Linked DNA regions of Caenorhabditis elegans. The protein of the gene in region 1 interacts with the protein of each later gene in a pairwise test. Each region holds a gene or a part of one and is shown in the gene's direction. Other genes may lie near its edges.

What was found.
Region 2: the proteins of nhr-69 (region 1) and F14B6.6 interact in a two-hybrid assay, tested with the Caenorhabditis elegans proteins (one large-scale study listed by BioGRID).

Annotation. Positions count from the first base shown.
Region 1 is NC_003279.8:9,878,329-9,884,756, reverse strand, and holds nhr-69 (Nuclear hormone receptor family member nhr-69), read left to right. Parts: upstream 1-3,252; 5' UTR 3,253-3,263; coding exon 3,264-3,420; intron 3,421-3,525; coding exon 3,526-3,591; intron 3,592-3,640; coding exon 3,641-3,783; intron 3,784-3,999; coding exon 4,000-4,155; intron 4,156-4,349; coding exon 4,350-4,495; intron 4,496-4,550; coding exon 4,551-4,730; intron 4,731-4,777; coding exon 4,778-4,883; intron 4,884-4,928; coding exon 4,929-5,027; intron 5,028-5,298; coding exon 5,299-5,367; 3' UTR 5,368-5,574; downstream 5,575-6,428. Other genes in the region: inx-20 (Innexin), read right to left, coding at 5,638-5,774, 6,114-6,206, 6,252-6,375, 6,422-6,428. UniProt on the Caenorhabditis elegans protein: Orphan nuclear receptor which, in cooperation with R-SMAD daf-8, modulates the Insulin/IGF-1-like signaling (IIS) pathway, perhaps by regulating expression of the potassium channel exp-2, which in turn modulates the secretion of insulin-like peptide daf-28.
Region 2 is NC_003279.8:12,229,805-12,236,232, forward strand, and holds F14B6.6 (Hexosyltransferase), read left to right. Parts: upstream 1-2,907; coding exon 2,908-2,971; intron 2,972-3,019; coding exon 3,020-3,088; intron 3,089-3,650; coding exon 3,651-3,985; intron 3,986-4,141; coding exon 4,142-4,344; intron 4,345-4,783; coding exon 4,784-4,931; intron 4,932-5,071; coding exon 5,072-5,290; 3' UTR 5,291-5,389; downstream 5,390-6,428. Other genes in the region: F14B6.3 (uncharacterized protein), read left to right, coding at 777-832, 887-1,082, 1,600-2,448; F14B6.4 (Hexosyltransferase), read left to right, coding at 6,236-6,287.

The DNA of each region.
Region 1 (6,428 bases):
AATTTTTGGAACGAAACCATGACACATTTCTGATCAAAAGTTCAGATTAAGATATTATACGAAAATTGGCATCATTTCTCGACGCGAAGAAAAAGTTTAAAAAAATATGTGTATTGAAGGAAAATCTGTGGAAATTTGGGAAAAGTTGCAAAAAACAGAAATAAAATCTACAGTACTCGGCAATTGCCGACCAGCAATTTTACGAAATGAGCAAATATTTTTATTGAAATTCAGTAAATAAAATATAGAAACTATTTGCTTTATGTGAAAATTACTGAATTTATTTTATTTGTAATAATTTAAAAATGCTCAAAAATTGTATGAAAGTTGAACACTGGAGAAATTGCCAGGCACCCCTGCTACAGTACTCTAAACATTGCTCTAATCTCTCAACTTGCTCTTAACATTGCCCACACCTCTGTGCAAAAACTTTCGCTTCGCTCCGAGACCTTTTTTGTAAAAAATTCTGGTTTCTCGCAACTGTGTGATATGTTGCGATAAATTGCAATGTCGGTTTTTTAGTAATAGTTTTCAAATTTAATTTTTTATTCTGTTTTTCGATTTTCGAAAATTTACATATTTCAAAAAATTAAAATGTTCAATTTTTGAAATTTCTCCAATTCAAATTTGTTCAAAATTGTTTCACAGCTTATTCCTGCAATTTCAGCAAGATCCCAAAAAATTTTTGCGAGTAGTATTCTTATTCAAAATCATAAATTAAATGCCAACTCAATTTTTGAATGCTCGAAAGCTCTCAAGTTCTCTTTGGCTCAATCGATCTATGAGCGATAACGGGACCTCCGCTCTCCTTCCTCAAGGTTGTTGTAAACCAGATGAGATCTTTGCAAGGTATCTGTCAAGAGTATCAAGACGCAGACAGATACACACACGAACGGACTTCTTGTTTTCGTTCATTTCTTTCTAACTATTTTCTTACCTACCCTTCTATTTCACAATTTTTATTACACAAAAATTTGAAAAAAATAGACTTCCCATGCCGGGAATCGAACCCGGGCCGCGTGGGTGAAAACCACGAATCCTAACCACTAGACCACATGGGAGCGGCGACATTCGCTTTCATTCTTGCCGTTAAAAGTCAAATACTTTGCTTAGTGATTAAAAAAGACAAGACTACAAAGTATCCTGTAACCGATAAAAAATAATCGATACTTATCATGTTATCAATTATTCCGTTCCATTTAAGATGTCACAGATGATCACTGATCGTATTGTTTTCCGTATGATCTATGAAACATTAAAACTTAGCAACTGTACGTTTTTCTCAATTCCGCCTCTTCCCTTAAAAATAATAAATCAGGTGATTTTTAATGTATTTTGAAATTTGTGTGTCGCATGTTTGTTTTCGTTGTCACTCTCACTTTACGTCTGAAAAGGAATTTTAATCGATTTTTCGAAGATCAAATTGTCAACCGTTTTCATTTTTGGCTTCAGTGGTAGGCAGGCATGTCGTCAGGACAGGCGATCGTGCCTTGCATACCTGCCGCCTATTTTCTGCATTCTGACGGGAAGCGCGGTGTTTCGTGCGATTTTCAAACAATGTTTGCGATTTTTGAGCGAAAGATACGGTGCCGGGTCTTGACACGACAAAAAAAATGATAAAAATTAACAGAGAAACTGAGAAAATACACGAGTGAAAAACACAATCTCATGGGAAATTTATAAAAATAAGAATTTAACAAAAGTTTGTCGTGCCGAGACCGGCTACCGTATTTTCGGCGCAATAATACCCGACAGTTCATAAGCCGGGTTTTTCAGAATGGGAGTCAAAAAAGGGTTACTGTAGCAGTAGTGTCCAATACATTCGCTTGTAAAGTACGGTACAAGGTGACCATCGGAAAGAACGGAAAATGTGAGAAGCTATTAAAATTACAATAAATCACATTTTTGAGATATCTGTTGTTTTCCATAACTCTTCATATTCATATTATTTCAAGTAAAAATCAGTTTGTCAAAATCAAAAAACAAACATCAAAAAACAAAAACTATAAAGATTCATTTTTTTGATAGTTTTTGACATTAACTACGTTGATTTTAACCGAATCTATCTAAATAAGTCAACCAGGCGAGTTTTAATGTTAAATTCAAAAAATTTAGCAAAAATGCTCGAAAAATTCAGCTGAAAATTGAAAAATCCTATTCTCCTCGAGAGACTGCGTAAATCCATCGCGACCAGCTCTTCCATTTCTAGACATGAGTTCGGAAGCCCGGGATTTGTAAAACCTGTAAATGAACCAAATCATTCTCAACCCCTCCCGTTCGAACTTCGAATGAGCTGCGTTTTCTTAAACTGAAATTCCAGAAATTACAGTCGTCTTTCAATATTGTATTCCCGATCTCTGCAAGACCCTTATCAGTCCTTCTATAAATTTCTCATTTTCTCTACCCACTCTCTCATTTTATAATTGTCTTTTCGTCGTTTCTTTCACATGTTTGTCACTTCTTTGCCCCCTTCTTCCCGCCATTCTTATCAAACACCCATCATACGCTCTCCAATACAATGTATTCTTTTTCTTCTTTTTCCAATCATTTTCCTGCTTCTTCATACTCTCTTTTTTTGTTCTTCACACACGTTTTAAGGATCATTGACAATTTGAAATCAGGAAGATCAGTTTTTATGAAGTCGGGTACAAAGAAGGATAGACTAAACTAGAATTTTGTTCTAGAAAAGTTTCAACTAGAAATTGAGATACTTTATTAAATGTTCAGATTTGAAAAATCTCTATGTTTTCCACCCTGGCATATACATATATACCGACATACGTGCCTACAGGCCAATGGCGCGCGGAATATGCCCACCAGTAATTCTACATGAGCCAGGGAGTTCTCATAGTATCTGAAATTTGAAAATGGAGGTAAAAAATTAGGCAAATTGCAACTTTCGAACAGTTTTTCGGACGAATAAAGGTTATTTTCCAATAAAACAAAAAATGCGATATATTCTGTCACCAAATTTAAATAAAAAATATCGAGAGAACATGCCACACTGGTTTGCTTTAGGTTTCCTATTCCTGCATTTCTGTAAATTAAATTATGTCTTTTCATGAGTAGGTGGTCTTCAAAGCTGCCTTGTAGGCACGTAGGTAGGCCTATCTAGGCTTAGATCTATGTAAGATCTAGTTTTTGGACATCTAATTTGAATTTAAACTTGCTCATCAAATATTCTATTCCGCTTCTTCCTACTTTTTATTATTGATTCATATTATCTAATAGAGCACAATTACATAAATATTTAGACAAAAAGTATGGTCGAAGAAATATGTCATATTTGCAACGACAAATCAACTGGTAAACACTACGGGGCAATCAGTTGTGATGGATGTAAAGGATTCTTTCGACGAAGTATTCGCAAACGATATCATTATCAATGCAGATTTGAACAAAATTGTGATGTTACCAAAAGTATGTTTATAGTTTTTAAAGTTTTTGGGCCGTTGGTTTCTGAAATTTCCAAAAGCAAGTCGGTCCTCCAATGTAATAAATATGTAATATTTCCTCTTATTTCAGATAAACGGAACGCATGTCGAGCATGTAGACTTCAAAAATGTGTAAAAGCGGGAATGAAGAGTAATGGTGAGATCATTCCAATACTTTTTTATAAAAATAGCCTGTACTATTTCAGCAATTCAAAATGAACGGGATGCAATTGGAAAACGGAAAAAGACTACGGGAGCTGAAAAAGAAGATTTGATAGATCAACTTGTTGCCGCAGAAACATTATGTCAGCAATTAAGGTCCAGTGTAATCAAGAATACATCTTCACTTGTAAGTTTGATTGGGATTAAACGCAGTGCTTCAAATTTCGTCAAGAGGGATTTCTTTCAATTTGGAAAGTTCTTGATTTTCTTTACTTAAGAAACACGGTTTAATTATGCCGGAATTTGTACCTGGTGGTTCTTTTTCCGCCCCCAGAAAAATCTGTTTTCTAGTTTCACCTCTTGATCTCAGTCAATAATCACATTGAATCCACGTGTTTTACAGGCACCATACGACTGTGGAAAAGTTAAATGGAATTATGAAGATGCGAGAGCTGCCACATTGGATGATATTGGAAAATCGATTCATCAACAATTGGTTCTTTTTATCGAATGGGCGAAGTCATTACCTCAATTCTCGTTTTTGGCTCAAGCAGATCAGGTATGATTTTTTTTCTATGAAAAATTTCAGAAAAATATTTGTTAGATGATTTTTTTTTTGATAAAATCAAAAACAACAGAGATATTATTTAGCTGTCATAGTAGCGAGTTTAATACTGAAAATACTGCAATTACTTGTTTCATACTTTCTTTTTTAAAAAATGACGACTTCTAGCAACAATTTCATAATTCCAGGCAGCTCTTCTCAAAGGCGGTGCCGCGTCAATAATTGTACTTGGAGTAGCATATCGATCGATTTGTCTGACAGTTGAAAATACAATTTGCCTTGCAAATGACACACTTCTTCCAAAAGAACATGCAACACAAGTGGGAGATATCAAGTGAGTATATTCTCATTTCATATCTGTATTCTCAGGTTTTGTACAGTCATTTCAGTTGTGTCGTCGGACGAATTATTGATGAAATTGTGAATCCAATGAGGAGGTTAAATATGGATTTAATTGAATATGTTGCACTGAAAGCTATTCTGTTTTTCAATCCAGTCGTCAGAGAAATCAACGATCAGAGTCCGGTGGAGAACGCCCGATATGCTTTTTTGAGGTCATTGCAGAGAAGGTTTATTTGACAATACTAGCTTCTATAACAAATGTAATATATTTCAGGTGTACTGACAAGGCACTTGAAAATATGGAAGACGAATCAATGGATTGCAGAAGTGGAAAGCTTTTGTTATTACTTCCATCACTTCAGGCTATTGCTCAACAATTGGTTAGTTACAATTGTTATTCAAATTAGTAATTTATGAATTTAAAGGTAGAAGATGTCCAACTTGCTCGTTTGTTCGGTCTCGTGAATGTCGATTCGTTAATGGAAGAACTTATTCTAAATGATATGAAACCTTCAGATCCACAGGTAATTTTTATTTTGAAAAGCAGAACAATGAAAGGAATATCTTAGTTATTGGCAACTTTCAAAACCTAAATCCTGAGCCCGGGGAATTTTATTTCAAACTCTTCCAAATGTGGAATATGCACAACAAATTTTGTTTAGTCTATCTAAGGAGAATAGGTCAATAAATATGCGGATTTCTTTTGTGCTTTGTGACTGTTAAGCTTATGGTGGTTTTGTGGAAGACCCTAATAAGTTCCAGAGACAATTTCAATCTCACAATTTTTGTTTTCAGATATTACAAACGAGTCTGGCATCACCGGTGAACTCGTCCGTTAAAGCAGAAGTTGAATTGGAAGAATAGTTTCCAATTTTCCAATATTTTATATTCAAGAGACCATAATCTCATCTTGCCTCCCTTCCTGCTCAAACCATCTAAATACTTCCAAACTTTGACTTCTAGAAATCGGGTCCCAACGGACACATTACTTACCTGCTCAAACCACCTCATTGTTTCCTTTTTCTATGTTGGTTTTATTATTATTTTAATAATTATTATTTCATGTCATGCAAATATTTGAAATTGTAACAACAATTAATTCGGTATCAGGAAAACAACAAAATATTGAAATTATTATACATTCGCAGCTGAAGCCATTCGGCTGCTTGGAGGTCGAAGGAATTGAGGAGCTGGTGTAGTTGGAGATTGATCCAAATGTAAATCTTCTCGACTCATGAGAGGAACCAAAACTGATGTTTTCCGTCGCAGACCTGAAAAGGGTGCATAGTATTCAGGCAAATGAGAACAAGTCTAAAATGTATTTATTTTTCATAAGCTATGAATGATACTAACACCTCTCGGAAATAGTTTCTCTTTGAAACTGACTCAAATTTTGCGAGACTCTTTTTTAACCGGATCATACTTTTTTAAACGGCAGAACAAATTTGCATTAACTAGATGAGCACCTTTATGATAATCAGTCTGAACATCTAGGTCTAGCCATCACAAAAAAAGACCGAGAATGCGTAATTCCAAATTGTTCGGTGGAAGAAAATGCATGATTCTTAGTACGCTTGGTCAGGTAATTCACTACGTTCTTGAAAACTTACTTGGTTCAATAGATAAACCACCAGCAGAAGCAGATCTATCATAGTCGTCACCGTAACTTTTATCTTCCAAAATCTCTCTGATTGTTGCATGTCCTAAAAATATATCCTATAAAAGAATATAATTCAAGTTCTACTAACCTGATTCTTGTAAAAACTGATCCCACATTGTATCAACAATATCCGTACACATAAGAATACCAGAATGTATTGTAATCATTCGTAACACGAAAATTCCATCGATTTTTATATAGTCACGAACAAACTGTAATTTTATTTTTATCTATAGAAGCCTTTCCCAACACTCTTACCTCATCA
Region 2 (6,428 bases), 2.4 Mb from region 1:
CTTGTAGGTGTGATGAAAAACTCCGAGAAAAAACTTGAAAAAATGACTTTTTTTTGTAACTTTGAGCGGTGATAACTTAAAAAATCTGGAATTTTACTAAAAATTATGTATTACAGCTAAATTGTATTAATATGACACATTGTTGAACCTTCAACGGTTTCAAAGTTACAGTAATTTACGGTGAGCCAAGCATTTTTCCAAACTTGTCTCTCAAATCTGCAAAAGCTATAATTCAATATTTACATGAGTTGTTAGGGGAACAGCAAATTCTGAAAATGCGTATTGCACAACATATTTGAAGCGCAAAATATCTCGTAGCGAAAACTACAGTAACTCGTTAAATGACTACTGTATCGATCAAGCCCGTAAATCGACACGAGCACAACAGTAATCAATTACTGTAGTTTTCGCTACGAGATATTTTGAGCGTCAAATATGTTGTGCAATACGCATTCTCAGCATTTTGTGTTTCCTTAATACATACATACGTTCTCTTCTCAATTATATTGTTCCCTTTAACCCTTCTTCCCAGAAACCCAAGTGACGTCATATTGCACTACATGGGTCCCAGATGACCTCCTTTTTCCTAGATCGCCTGTACAAGATTTTTCAGACGCGCAAACTACACTTGATCAACAGGCGCGTCGAAATAGCACTGGGTAACGAGAGACCTAGACTGTAATACGTTTTTTTCCAGATGCCTAAAAAAGATGGTTATTTAGTTCTTTAGTTAATTAGCTCTTACCCAGTGAAGTCGGTTATTCTTTTATTCAACAATGCTCTCGTTTCTCCAATCTTTCTTCAAATCTCTGGGATACGAAGACTATTTCAAGTGAGTTTTAAACCCGTTTTTTCCCCAAATTCTTTATAAAATTGTAATTTTTAGACCCATTGCCCCATCTAGTCCACGATTCTTCACAAAATACTGTAATGAAACTCAAAAGAAGATTACAATTGTGATTGATAGTAACAATATCATTCGTCCCTTCGTTTTTGATGAGTCCAATGAACGTGAGCCGCTTTTTGTTGCACATTTGGGATGCTCGGAGTGCATGAGATGGAATCGAATGTATGGAGAAAACGTGAGTTTGTGCAATTTTTGTGCAAATTTTTGCTAAATTTTAAGCTTATAACAGCTTTGATCTACCATTTATATGAATGGTAGATATTATTTATATACAAATTTCACACAAATCGACGCTTTTATTCGAAATACGCTGTGACGTCACAAATTTTCAAATAATATTTTCCCGCCTTTCGTGTGAAGTGGAGCGATGCGACAGCCCACGTAGTGCTGGACTGTACCATTACGGTTTGATCTACAAAAATGCTGGAATTTTTTGTCCAAAAATGTGACGTCAGCGCATTCCTAACCAAGCTATATCAGTTGAGAACTCTGCGTCTTTTCTCCCGCATTTTTGTAGATCTGGGTAGATCAAGCCGAAATGAGACACTCTGACACCACGTGACAGCCTGAAACCACGTAAAAAAGGCATATGCCGAATTAGTAGTAGCCTGCGGTCTCGAATGTGGGTTCCGTCTTAAACTTCCGACTTTTATTTTTGTGTTTAAATTTAACAAGACAATGTTTTTTTTCAGATTGCTGAGAATAATGAGCCGGAAACCGATTCTGAAGACGAAACAGATTATGAAAGTGAAACCTCCGATTCTGAACTTGGGCAAGACTCACCGAATCCGAATCTCTCAGAAGCCTTAAACAATTGTATTGAAAATTTTGACCAACTGGTCGATGAAGTTGTAAGACACAAGGATTTCCACGAAAGATCTCAGCTCTTGAGAGTTCTCGAAGAATGCCTAGGGAATATGAACAGTTTCCTTCAAAATGAAAACTTGACTGTCGACGATATTTCGACTGGTGCCTGTGCACTGTTGAACGAGACGGCGGAAAAGCTGAAGCAGATGTTCAGCTCGAGTGGGATCTCAGGTCGGAAGGAGAGTTCAGAAGGGACCAACAAGGATCTCATTAAATTTGGGGAGTTGGAGATCAGAGGTGATGAAGAGGAGGATGATGACGACGAGTCTTACGTGGAAGGTGAAGAAGAAGATAGTTCTGACGAGGACTTGGACGATGAAGATCAGGAAGGAGAGTCCTCAATTGAGCCAAGGCTCTCAGAAACTTTCAAAAAATCGGAAGCTCGAGAATCGCTGAGCTCAAAAGAAGCTCCAGTTAAGGACCTAGTTATCTATCAAAAATTCAGAGATGAGCATGAAGACTTAGAAGAGTCCGAGAATGAGCCCAGAATGAGTGATGAAGCGGAAAAGTTAGTGGAAGACAAAATAATTGAAGAATCCGATGAAGATTCTTTTGATATAATTGGGAGAGATGAAGAATTGGATGATGACTCCAATGGCAAAGAAGAGGAAGAACTAGAGCTTGATGTAACGCAGGAAGACTCGGAAGATGATGAACAATTTTTTTCTCTCTGAAAATGTTTTTTTGCTCAACTTAAATACGTGATAATAAATCTGCTAACGACCAAACATTTGAAATTATCTATTTTATTTTGAACGAACCTTAATATTTGAGGTATCATGATAAAAGTGCAGTTACAGACTTTTTTAGTATGATGAACCCAACTCTAGTATTATTAATCCGCAAAAAATTCAGAAATGCCTAAAACCACAGAAATTAGGGGGTGTCCCATAGCAGTTGGGCGCACTGTAGGAACCAAATTGGACTTCAGGTTAGAAAAATAGATAGTTAGAGAAAAATACTTTCTTATCAGTTGCTCTCTTCTTTATCATTGCCCCTTTCGTATTTGCACTTTCTCTGCATCTCTCTCACTCTCCCACTCTCTTTACACGTGAATTTGTTTCCTTTTTCATTGTTGAATTGTTTGAATCCATGAGTTTTCGGTTTCAAATCTGATTGCTAAATTCCCACTAATGAAAGCTCGTAAAATTTTAATTACCGTAGCCATTCTGGCTTCACTGCTTGCTTACCGATATTGTGAGTTTTTGAATTTCTTACATTTGAAAATTGTGCTGAAATGTTAAGATTCTCAGAGAACCATGGAATTTTTAATTGAAGAAGATCAAATGTGTCTACAGAGGGAATGGTATGAAAGTGAGTTTTTTTGCCAGCATTCTGAGATTTTAAATGTATTCAATAAGTTTAAATTTTCTTTAAAATTCTTTAAAAAATCCAATATTTTTAATAATATAATATATTCCAAATTCACAATCAGTTATTTGTTTTCATTTAAAAGCACACAAAATTTACTTTGAAAATATAATTTTCTAATAAAAATCAAATTTCGAACAACTTTAGTTTTACCGAAACAGATTTTGTACTAAAATTTATGAAACTTCTTCGATTTTTCAGAAATTTTCAGAAAATTCACAGCATATTGTTGCTTGCTCATATTGTTTAACTAATAGTAAAAAACGTTGAGCAAGTTTCAGACAATTTTGAATTTTTTTTTGAAAATTTGGGACCAAACATAAAAAATTTATTTAAACTTGGGTTTTTATGAAAGAATGAAATCAAAATGAATCGGAAATAAATCTCAATTTCTAAGAAAAAAATTGCCAATTCTCTCAGAAAAGTTCCAATAACATTCTTTACACATTTTCGTTTAAAAAACGCAATTGATTAACACTTGTGCAAAATGGTTCTGAAATTCCAGGCTCCCAAATAAACTCAACCGCCGATTATGGAAATTCTTATCAAATTTCATTTTCCGACGTCCAGAGCACATTCAAATGGATCCATATTCCAAAAATAAGCGGTTCTCCTGAAATCTTATTGATCGTCCTATCGAGGCCTGACGACTTTTCTAGAAGAAATGTTATAAGGCATACGTGGATGAGTCAGGAAAATGAGATAAAATACTTGTTTCTGATTGGATTAGGTGCTAATATGGACGGAAAAATTAAAGAAGTTGTGATGGCGGAAGCAAAATTGTTTGGGGACATTGTAGTGACATCTATGGAAGATCGGTATTCCAAATTATCGTTTAAAGTTAGTTTAAAGCTGGGATACTGACCAAGTCTCGTAGTAGATCAAAGTTGGAATCAGAACTTGAATTTCGCGGTAAAATTTTTGGAACTTTCAAGACTGGCTCTATAGACTGGCTCTATCTTCTGCAACCCAATAACCTCTAACTAATGATTACAGACCCTGACGCTGCTTCTCTTCGGGGTCTCCAAAGTCCCGTCAGCCCAGCTAATTGGAAAAATTGACGGAGATGTTCTCTTCTTTCCGAATTTATTCTTATCGACTATAAAAAACGAAAATTCTATGATTAACGTGACAAGTGCAAGTGTTTATGGAAAAATTGCCGAAGCTGGAGTGCCGATTGTGTCCAACTGCTGCAAACGGTAGGTGAGCCCGGTGAACTCTGAAATTCAAAGGTGGTCCTGGCCAGGTAGCTCACCACATGGTAGGTGCTGATTTCTCTAAAGTACTCAAGAGTCATGAAGCTCTACGCAAGACTTGATTGATTTTACACACGTGGTGTCAAAATTTCCCATGTCGGTTTGATCTACGTAGATCTACGAAAATCGCGAGAACTTAGACGCAGACATTTCGAATGATTAAGAACGTGCTGACGTCACTTTTTTTTGGAGAAAAAATTCCCGCATTTTTGTAGATCAAACCGTAATGGGACATCCTGACACTACGTGTTTAAATAGGTATCAAATTCTTCAATTACCCGATTTTTTTAATCGTCAGCCGAAATTTAGGGAGCTGGGAGTCGGCAAGTTCACCTAAACCAAATTAAACAGTTTTAAAACAAAAAAAAGTTTTTTTTTCCAGATTTTTAAAGTACAATTTCAGACGAAATTCTCTGATTTCGTTTGGATGCACGAGGTACGCTTTCTATCTTGCTGGTCCATTCTACTTGGTGACAAGAAGTGCTGCTTTACGATTACTAGAAGCTTCAAAACATAGAAATTTTCACAAGGTAATTAACTAAATTAGCTACCTATCTGAAATAATAGCCAACAAAAAAGTTGGCTGATTCTGTTAATTCCGGTTTTTTTTTTCATTTGAACTAGCTAAAAACAACTTGATATTGTCTTCATTAATTTTGGTCACTTTCAGATCGAAGATACCCTCATCACTGGAGTTCTGGCTGATGATACTGATGTGAGCAGAGTACAGCTTCACCGGATAAATTTGGGCCAAGAGAAGGGAACTGATTTGGTTTTTGCATGGCATAGCCCGCTAAATGATCCGGAGTACAAAGATCTTTACTACAAAACTATGAGCTCACAGCAGTTTAAAGAAAAATTGCGATTACAAGAAATAAATGTCACTTGACTTTAAAAAAAAGTTTTCCTGTTTCTTAAATTGCCGATAATTTTATTTCAACACGATTTACATTTTTTTTTATTAGATGTTTATAAATTACGGGCAAATATTTTTTCATCTTCAGAAATTCATCAATTACGGACAAAACTGTTCAGCATGGTCAATCTTACCAGAAAATACCGAAAGTATGCTAGTTTGATCGGAAGGTTATTTTAAAAAAATTGCAAATATTAATTAAAAATTTTTTTTCCAAAAATTTAAAACTACGGCAAAATCATAGGAGTGCTTCTTTTTTATTTTATGAAACTGTTCAGCATTATCGGATTTATCAAAAAATACCAAACAAAGTACGCTAGCTAATCCGGAACATATTTTAAAAATTGCAGAAAATAACCAAAAAATGATTTTTTCAAAAAATCAAAAGTACGCCAAATCATATGAAGCGCTTCTTTTTTTTTTAAATAAAACTGTTCTACATGGACAAATACACCAGAAAATACCAAATAAAATATGCTAGCTTGACCGGAAGCTTATATTTAGAAAATGCATATATTTACGTGCCTATAAAACAAGAACTAATTTTTCTAAAAAAGATTTGGTAGGAAAATAATTTTTATTTTTCAGTAAAAATTGACTGAAATTCAAATATCATTTGTTTAAACAAATTTACCAAAAAATCCTAATTTCAAAATTCCACGCGCTACTGAATATTCATCGATTTTTTTTTTCAAAAAAAATTCAGCTATAGATATCCATCCCGTGCCGATTTTCACCGCGTATACACTGGCAAAGATGCCAATCTTTCACGCGAAAGAACGTCTCAAAGCCCAGTGGATCCAGAATTTTTATCGAATATCCAGATCTTATTCTCTTTCTCTCACTGAAAAATCATCAAGTGCATCGAAATGGAGATTTCCCTCCAAAAAAAATTAATTTTCCTATTCTTATTTGCCAATGCGTCATCGGTATCGGGTTGCGGCAGTTTTGATTATTATTGTGATTATTTGTAAGTTATAATTTTTTTAGAAGGAGTTTAGAGCTCTAGATTTTTGTGTAGGTGTGTTGAAAATTGCTCAAAAAAATTTCTCACCAAAATTTTTCAAAACGAATACCAATTCAGGAATACCAATTTTTGATTTTCTGCCAA